2 linked regions of the Drosophila melanogaster genome follow. The protein of the gene in region 1 interacts with the protein of each later gene in a pairwise test. Each region holds a gene or a part of one and is shown in the gene's direction. Other genes may lie near its edges. The genes, in order: CG4631 and CG6380.

Region 1 (5,038 bases):
TACACATAACATTACAGGGAACATCATTTTGCCTCAGTGTAATTATTTGTTTACTATAATCAATAATATGCACAATTTTGTATTTAACGGATATTTGTTTTTCGGCTGGCTTTCATTTAATTGCCAGTATTTCCTTGGAAAGTGTTACGATCAACAAAAATTTACTGAACCACAATGCCCCTGTGGTGTAGGCTTTCGATTACATTTTTGGATCCTTTTAAGAAGCAACATTTTATTCAAAATTTAAAGCATCTGCCACAGGATGAGCATGCGAAAAATATGTTGCAGCCTTACAGCAAATTTTCCTTGGACATCCAAGATAGTTTCGATTGGCCAAAAACAACCGTCTAGATCCACATGTCTATCCCAGGAGCATTGTCTTTGGCGTCAGAGAAACCAAATGGAAATCGAACAGTTGGCAAAGCTGGTGGGATTCCAGCCCGATGAAATCGATGGCTTTCTGTTTAATCTCAGCCTACGGAACTATAGTGACCTCTTGAAATACAAGGAGTGTGGATGGAATGGCTGCAATGTGCCCCTTTGTTATCCGTATGTCTGTGATCGGTACATGGCCATATTTGATCATCGTGGCAACTTACGAAGTCCCATCCATGCAAGGAGTCTTAAAAGTTTACTTCCGTTACTGCTGGATTATTTGAACGGTGATTCGCCTAATGATCGAAAGGACTCGCCCATCTACGAGGCGTATCCTGACGAACACCAGGCGAAATGTCGTTCAAATATTGAGCAGAGTGATTTAGAAGCTATGAGTTCTTCAGATTGGATCTCTCAGCTCCTTGGCAATCCAAGTGAATCGAAAAGGGAAAAAACGGGAAAAAAGACTGAAAAACCTCAACCGGTAATGAGATCTGAATTAGAAAGTGAACTAGAATCAGAATCTGAAATGGAAAAAAAGAAGCGAAAAAATAAGACCTTTGGTCGGCAGTCTGTATTCCTCAATGATGAACTTGCCCTAGCTTATGCCAAGTCCTATGATTATGCGGAATATCTGATGAAAACTTTGGGTCGACATCGATTTAGGGATAGCTATATAGGTCCCGTGGGAGATTTGAGAACAACACGTACTCACATTCTTATAAGAGACTTGATCGCCAGAAAAGGAATGAATATAAATGAAAAAAATTTGAGGAAAGCCTTAAAAAAGGTTGATCTCGAGTGGAAAGGAACGACACGGGCAGATTACAAACGTGAAATGAAAACCGCCCAGGAGATTTCCCGGCTTTACAATGTCATTGTTCAGACACCGTCAGATGAACCAATTCCTTGGAGAATTATAGGTAAGGTCAGGGAGAACTATCCAAAGGTTCCAAAAGCCTCCAAGTCGCCCAGAAAATACTTGGCCGACCAAGACGCAATGGTTTTCCACGAACCTTTTGATCATAAAAAGAACTGGACCTGGCAACGGCGACAATCAAAACGTACTATTCGAAATTCCAATTACAAATTCTCAACCACAAGGATCAAGCCATATATAAGCAGATCCATGAAGCAAGAAATAGAGCCGCTCAAGGATGAGGCTTCAATTCATTCGTCATTGAGTGATAGGGCAAGATTGCAGAAACGAGAGTCTTAAGATCCCATGTTAGGTTTTTTTCAAAATGTATTTCCATTTATATTAAACTAAATGGGCTTATTGTAAAAGGTTTTTTTTTTTAGTATCTCAGCATGCTTCGAAAATTACAGCACAGAAATCATTCAAAATTTTAGTCTGGAACTGGCGGCAATCACAAAATTTGTACTTTCGTAAATACCTGGTTTTCGGAACGCCAAGACGGTCAGGCCAAAATGAATTCCTGCTGCTGTAGATCGCATAGCGATCGCACGAACCCGATGGCCTGTCTTCCTCAGTTTCCACGTCTGCAGCGTGTCCAAAGTTGTCGGCCATTTTTGGAGGGACGAAAGGCAGCCAGCTGTTGTGTTTCGGGCGAGAGGCGATGGGGTCAGAGAAACGGTTGTATGATCCAGGTGCTGGCCAAGATGGTCAATAAGTCGTCCAGTACGGTCTGCCAATTTCTACACCAATTGACACTGCAGGTCTTTGCGAGAATTCTATATCCTTTGATGTTAGGCTGGAATACGCTGAAGGTACCGTTTGTTATACCCGACATCTGTGAGCTATACTACGGGATATTCGACGAATGTGGTAACATAAGGGGTTCCATACCAACAAGGACGTTGCTCATCCTCATATCCATGATCCAGTATTTTCTCAATCTACCGAAGAGATGTGGACAAAATAGCGCTTGTTCGGGATGCAGAAGCCAGACGGATGATTTGAGGAACATTCACAGTCCCGGTTATTGTGGCAAAAATGCCATGACGCCATTCTCGGGACGGGGGATTACGGAAAAAGGACCATCGAAGGGAAGTGATGTGTGGGCGGGACTTAAGCGATTGGGATACGAAAGACGTGGCGATCTAGATAGTTATCCCTCGGATGAGTCTATACCATATGGCTATGCACCCCATCGATGTCCTTGCCAGGCCGGAAGTCCCAGAATCCAGAGATCCGGAATTTTGAACCCGTATGCAAATAGGCCTGGGGCCATGAGATCGTTGGTCTGCGCAGAGGAACTGGAAAGTTCCATGTTAGATTCCGACTATAATCAGCAAATTCCAATGGCACCCATTTCACCAAAAGCAGCTCAAATTATTCACATTAATCACATCTCGAATCTATATGCTGCAGTCGTACAAAACCAACATACAAGACAATTATTTGCTGATGGAAGGCCACCAAGGCCGCGGGTAAGACCCTGTACTGAGAACCAAAACAGATTCTCCGGTGGTTTCATGATGCCCGAACCATATTTCAATGGTATGCCATGGAGTTGGCTGCACAGAGATCCTCAGAGAATGATACGTCTACCAAGTGGTGGTCTTCCTTTGGAAATACCGCGTTACAGACGACAACCTTTGGATGAAGAGTACCACAGTTTTAAAAGTAAATATGAACACTTGAGCAGACGGGATAACCCCTTCAAAGGAAGTAGTCTATTGCCTTTAGACACTTACCCATCTGAGAATAGATTTAACCAAGGAAATAGGTTGCAATCTATAAGTTGGGAGAAAAAAATACTGGATCATCAAAATCAGCCTACAAAAAATATTTCCAATAATCTAATAATCCCAATTAAACAACAAAGAAAACTTGAGTGGGAGCAGCTCTTTATAAAAAGAATTAATGATGCAAAGAAAACTAAGGGAACTTTTGATTTCTGGAATGAGATGATAGAGAGAAATAAGTTCAAAGCATTTCAGCAAGCAATAAAGGACACCAAACCAGTATTCCCTTCAAAAGAGATTGGGTATTCTCAATCAAGGAAAGATAGTGCCCACATTATAACGAAGAGAAGCAATAATTCCTTGCGATCGGCGAGGCAAAACCAAAAGAAATTGGAAATCGAAAAACCTGAAATTTCGAAAAGGTCAAATAATAATCGAACTCATGTTTCAGCACAACATCGAGTGAAACAACTTTGTAGTAGCCAAGAAAAGCAGACTTTAAAAAATCAAATTCAACAAGATACCTATAAAATTAAATCTGTAAATAACACTCCGCATTTGGCAAAGAATGAAATAATTCCTCAACCAAAATATCCTGATCCCGAAGATTATAGAAAAGAACGGGCTAGAAATCTAAAATTTAATAGAAAAACTGCCGGAGAATCCGTAATGCTAATAAAGCCTGCAAAAAGTATCATAAAGAAGCCTAAAGAGACTCAGTTAAAGGACGTAAGCCAGGATGAGTTGGAAAGTTTAAAGAAACAATTAGAGATGAATACAAATAATAAAAGGGTACGATTTAGTGTACCCACACCTTACAGCAATGAAAGAGTGATGCCAGCAGAAAAATATGTTCTTCTTGAAGCTGGAGATCAGATACCTAAGCACTTCAGTAAGCTTCATAGTCAAGATAAAAGTGCTACAAAAAGTGTATTTAGCCGAAGATCGGGAAAGTCACCGGAACGAGGTTTTAGGAAAAAACGATTGCATTCAGAAGATGGTACCGAACTGCCCACATATAGTAAACGAGCAGCGATGGGTTCTCAAAATAAATATTATGGAAATACCAAAGCAAAGCCAAACAAACCACACGGTAAAAGTTGTAAAATCATGCCCAAAGTATTGTATTCCAGAGAGGAAACACTGAAGAAATTGAGTTATTTGTTATGATTGCAGCGTTATTTAATATATATATATCTATCGGATTGATGTTATATCCAATATTCACCTGAATAATCTAAAATCCATATGGTATATATTTGTTACTAAGCTTAACCCGAGATTGTATAGAGATACCACGCCTGACCGCCTATTAAATTTTCGTTTGAAAAGTGTACTTGTTTAACTGAAACTATTCAAACTCTCGCCTAGTTTATGAGCAAAAAGGTAAATATTCCCTAGCATTGATTAAAAGCCGCAACACTGCAGCACACTTGTGGTAAAGTTGGTTTCGCTTTTCCGCATTTCATTTGGGCCTAGAACATCGATAATGATAACGATGATGATGCGGCCAAATGCCTGGCCGCTGAAAAGGATTTCCTTTAAACCATGCTACTAATCGAAACTTACCTTATTCCTCTAGAGTTGAGTTGGCTGAAAATCTCGAGTGTTCTTGTGTTTTGAGGCATTCAGCTTTCAGTTCGTTTTGGTTGCTTTTACTGTACTTTGGGGGCCATAACGTCTACCACCCCCTTAATTTCTGTTATATATGTATGCGTGTACTGAAGAGCTGAAGGCCTTGAGCCAAAAGGCAAATGTTTTGTGGGAAGAGCGCAATTTTCCGCTAAAGCCGAGAATCGTATTGGTAACAAGTGCCTCTCACTTTATTGGCCCCTGGGTGGGCCTATCAAATTTGGCTGTTTGAGTAGCCGGGTTTTAGGAACAAACCGATTAGATATTCATGCGAGATTTTAGTAACAGGACAGCCCTACTGCTCTGCATAAATTTTAAATAAATTGTACAAAATTAGCAGCTGGAATATGGTTTACAGAGTGAGTAACTCAGCTTAATT
Region 2 (3,484 bases), 680 kb from region 1:
TTTCCTAGCCGCATCAACATCGCATTTCGTCTCCGACAGAGAGGCAATCAAACATGGCAGGAAAACTGCAGCTGAAAAACAGTTGTTGACTGTTTGCCGGCATCGCCTATATCTCCATCATCATGATGTTGATGATCATCATCATCTTCACCTCGCAACAGGACACAACATCGCAACGTCATCATCGCGTGGAGGAACAAGTGAAGGAGGACATATCCTCGTCATCGTCACTTTTATGCTGCTGTTTTGTCGCATCCACTGTGCTTATAAGCATCCGCTCGTCACATGCGTGCAAGCGTATCGGGGATCTACACAGCGAGAAAACGGATTTAGCTTATAATTTTTAGTAATATACATTTTGAATAATATATACCTAATTAGTCATTCCATCAGATAAACGGAAACTGATAATATTGTCTCTCCCCTTAAAATATATTAATATTAATATAAAAATATTAAAGGCATCGTGCTTTAATATTTTTACGCATTTTTTCTCGCGGTGTCTGGGCTCGTATCTGAACGTACTCCGGCAAAGGCTTGTTTATTTGCTGGCAAAATTGTGAAATAATGTGCTGCAATCAATTCCCAATACAGCGCTCCGTGACCTCTAGCCCCTCTTCACATGCGGCACTCCCTCACTTTTCCCTTTGGAAAAGCGGGAGAAAGCGGGAAAAACGGTGTGCAGTGAAGTTATTTGAAGTGGCAGCTGCCACAGAGCGAACTGCAACTGCCACAACTGCATTGGTTGCCCCACGCCTCTTATCATCACTTGATTTACCGCCCCCACTTCCCCCATTTTCCACGTTTTCGTCCGTATCGGAGGTAACATGTTTGTGATGAATATGTTTACATCAATAACAAAAACTCCACTATGGCGCATCAATAATGAAGCCTTGCTCTGACTCCGCTTTACAAAACCCCCTATCATTCCATCCAACGGGCGGCAAAACCCCATTTTGAACACGTCAAAATGAGTTTACTTTGTGGTTTCGATGGCTGCGATTGGAAACTGCTCCCGCGGATTATGAAGTATCTCGATTGGAGTACCGAATACATTCATCCACACACAAACACATCGAGTTCTTGACATCCTCAACACAAAAACAACAGTAGCAATGGCAACAGGGATTACTTCGAGATTGCAGCAGGAAAACCACTTGATATTTTGAAAGTGAATCCGTCCACAGTCTGATCGGAGATTTGGTATTATCCGAGATTAGGGGTTGGGTATTTGCTCGATACGGAGACAAGGACTTAATTTATAATTAATAAACATGTTTGGCTTAATTTACCAGAGAATAATGATGGAGTAACAATGAATTTGAAACTCCACTAAGCAGCATTTAAACAACATACGTAAACATACAAATTTAATATGTATGGTAACAATAAATAAAGTAATTTTAAAATCGAATATAAGAAGATAATATGTGACTTGAAGCAGGCATACCTTCTACTACATAATTAGATCCCAATTTAAAATGTTAAACAGAGTAATTTGAGTGCAGAGTTCATAGAGAGATTTATGATAATAAATTAAAAATAAAATAAAAAATTGTACGCGAATGTAATGAAGTTATACAATAATCTTCCAAGAAAAGGAGCCCACGATTTTTATATATTTTTTGACGATGACAATGTATTTTATCAGTTAAATATTATAAGCCATATAGGGCACACACAAGTTTACACTAATACATTTTAGTTCGGTAATTAGTTCCTTTCAAAGGCCAAAACTACACATAGCTACAAACAAGAATGGATGGGGACCAAGTAAAGGGCATCCTGAAGTCGGGAAACAATAGTGCGCAATTTAGCCTGAAGGCAGCCAAATTTGATGAGGTCAACATACTGGCCACGTTCCACCCGGCTGGTAAGGACTACGGCCACATGATCATCGACGAACCAAAGACACCCTTCGTCTTTGAGGAGGATTTGCCAAAGGAGTTGGATACAAATGCCCTGATCGAAAAGTTGAGACACACATCAAAGTCAGAAATGCCGGCATTTGGCATCGAAGGAGACTCAGAAGAATCCTCGGCGGATGAGGACTTTCCCGAGTCTGTAGAGGAAAAAGTGCGTAGAATGGAGTTTGAGAGGCGGCGAAAAGTGCATTACAAGGAGTTCTATTCGGTTCCACTGGCTCGACGTCTTATAGCCGACGAGTTTGCCGAGTTGACCAGTTCAGAGTTTAATATTCACTGCGAAGGGGGAATGGAATCTTGTGAAGCGTGCAGTGAAAACAATCAACTCGACGGCGAAGCAAGCAACTTGACGCAAACAAAATACTCATATTCTGAAAGTCAATCCGAATACAGGATATCAGATCATTCTGAGCCTGAACCAGGTTTCTCCCCCAGCCATCACTGCTACCAAAAACTGAAGGCCGAGCTCTTTAGCAAAGCAGAGCCGGAAGAATTGGCCTCTTTAACGCACTTGCATCGAATGCCATCGGTCAACGATGATGAACCAAGTCGCGAGCCTCGCGTCCCATACCCTTCGGTTGTTCCGACTCAAACCCAAAATCTACATGAACACAAGAGTTCACTGAAAATAACGTCCGAGAAGCCTACTCCTGCTCGTATATGTAAATCCAACCCTGATAATCGTCCTGGCACTTCTAAGAAAGAGACCCGCTGAAATCATTCAGTAGTGTTAAAAATTGCAAAGTTATATTAAAGAAACTTGTAATTATAACAAACCATTGGGGATTAAAACTTGTGTATGCATTTGACAGAAAGTATCTATTACACTACATCTATCTACACTCTTTTGTAGAAGAAGCTTTTAACAAATGTTGCCTAATGGTTTTTACTCAAGGATAAATATCTTTAATTACTCAATCACAAAAATTGTGTCCAATAACTTTCGGTCATTCCACTCCTGTTCGTGCCTCGTCTAAGTTGCTAAGGAAATTATAGGAAAATTCTAAGTACCACTGGCCAGGCTAATTGCTGAGATGTTGATATGATTAACCCACTAACCTTCATTTGCTCCCCATCTATTAATACTTTGCTTCCGAAAGTTCACTGGTCTGGGGAATATTTAATTACGCAATGTCCTAACGGTAATCATCATTCGGCCGAAGCTAGATACAAGGATACACAGCCAGAGTTTAACTTATTTTGGCATTTTGTTTTGTGATTGAAAATTCCTTTTGACAGTCTAGGCAACCGAAGAGTTTTCCTTCCGGCCAATCGCTTTCATTCTGATTTCATGCTCTGGCCATTCCAATTGTGAAGAAAACTGATTTCTGCCCTTTAAGATAATTCCTCGGATATTACAACTGCAGAATCACTTGAAATAATTATGCAAAATGTTTAATTTAGCCATTAAATGCCGTAGCAGTTCAGTTTTATTATTATTAAGCTTCGGTCAATTCGCTTGCAAATGAAAGGACAACACAAAACCGGATGGTGGTTGGGGGAAGTGTCATGAATATTTATGGGGCCATGTTATCATTGAATAGATTTCAATTAGATTT

Evidence for each region.
Region 2: the proteins of CG4631 (region 1) and CG6380 interact in a two-hybrid assay, tested with the Drosophila melanogaster proteins (one large-scale study listed by BioGRID).

The regions. Positions count from the first base shown.
Region 1 is NT_033779.5:16,605,684-16,610,721, forward strand, and holds CG4631 (uncharacterized protein), read left to right. Parts: upstream 1-1,686; 5' UTR 1,687-1,806; coding exon 1,807-4,197; 3' UTR 4,198-4,354; downstream 4,355-5,038. Other genes in the region: CG31815 (uncharacterized protein), read left to right, coding at 263-1,594.
Region 2 is NT_033779.5:17,290,383-17,293,866, reverse strand, and holds CG6380 (uncharacterized protein), read left to right. Parts: upstream 1-1,664; 5' UTR 1,665-1,758; coding exon 1,759-2,640; 3' UTR 2,641-2,792; downstream 2,793-3,484.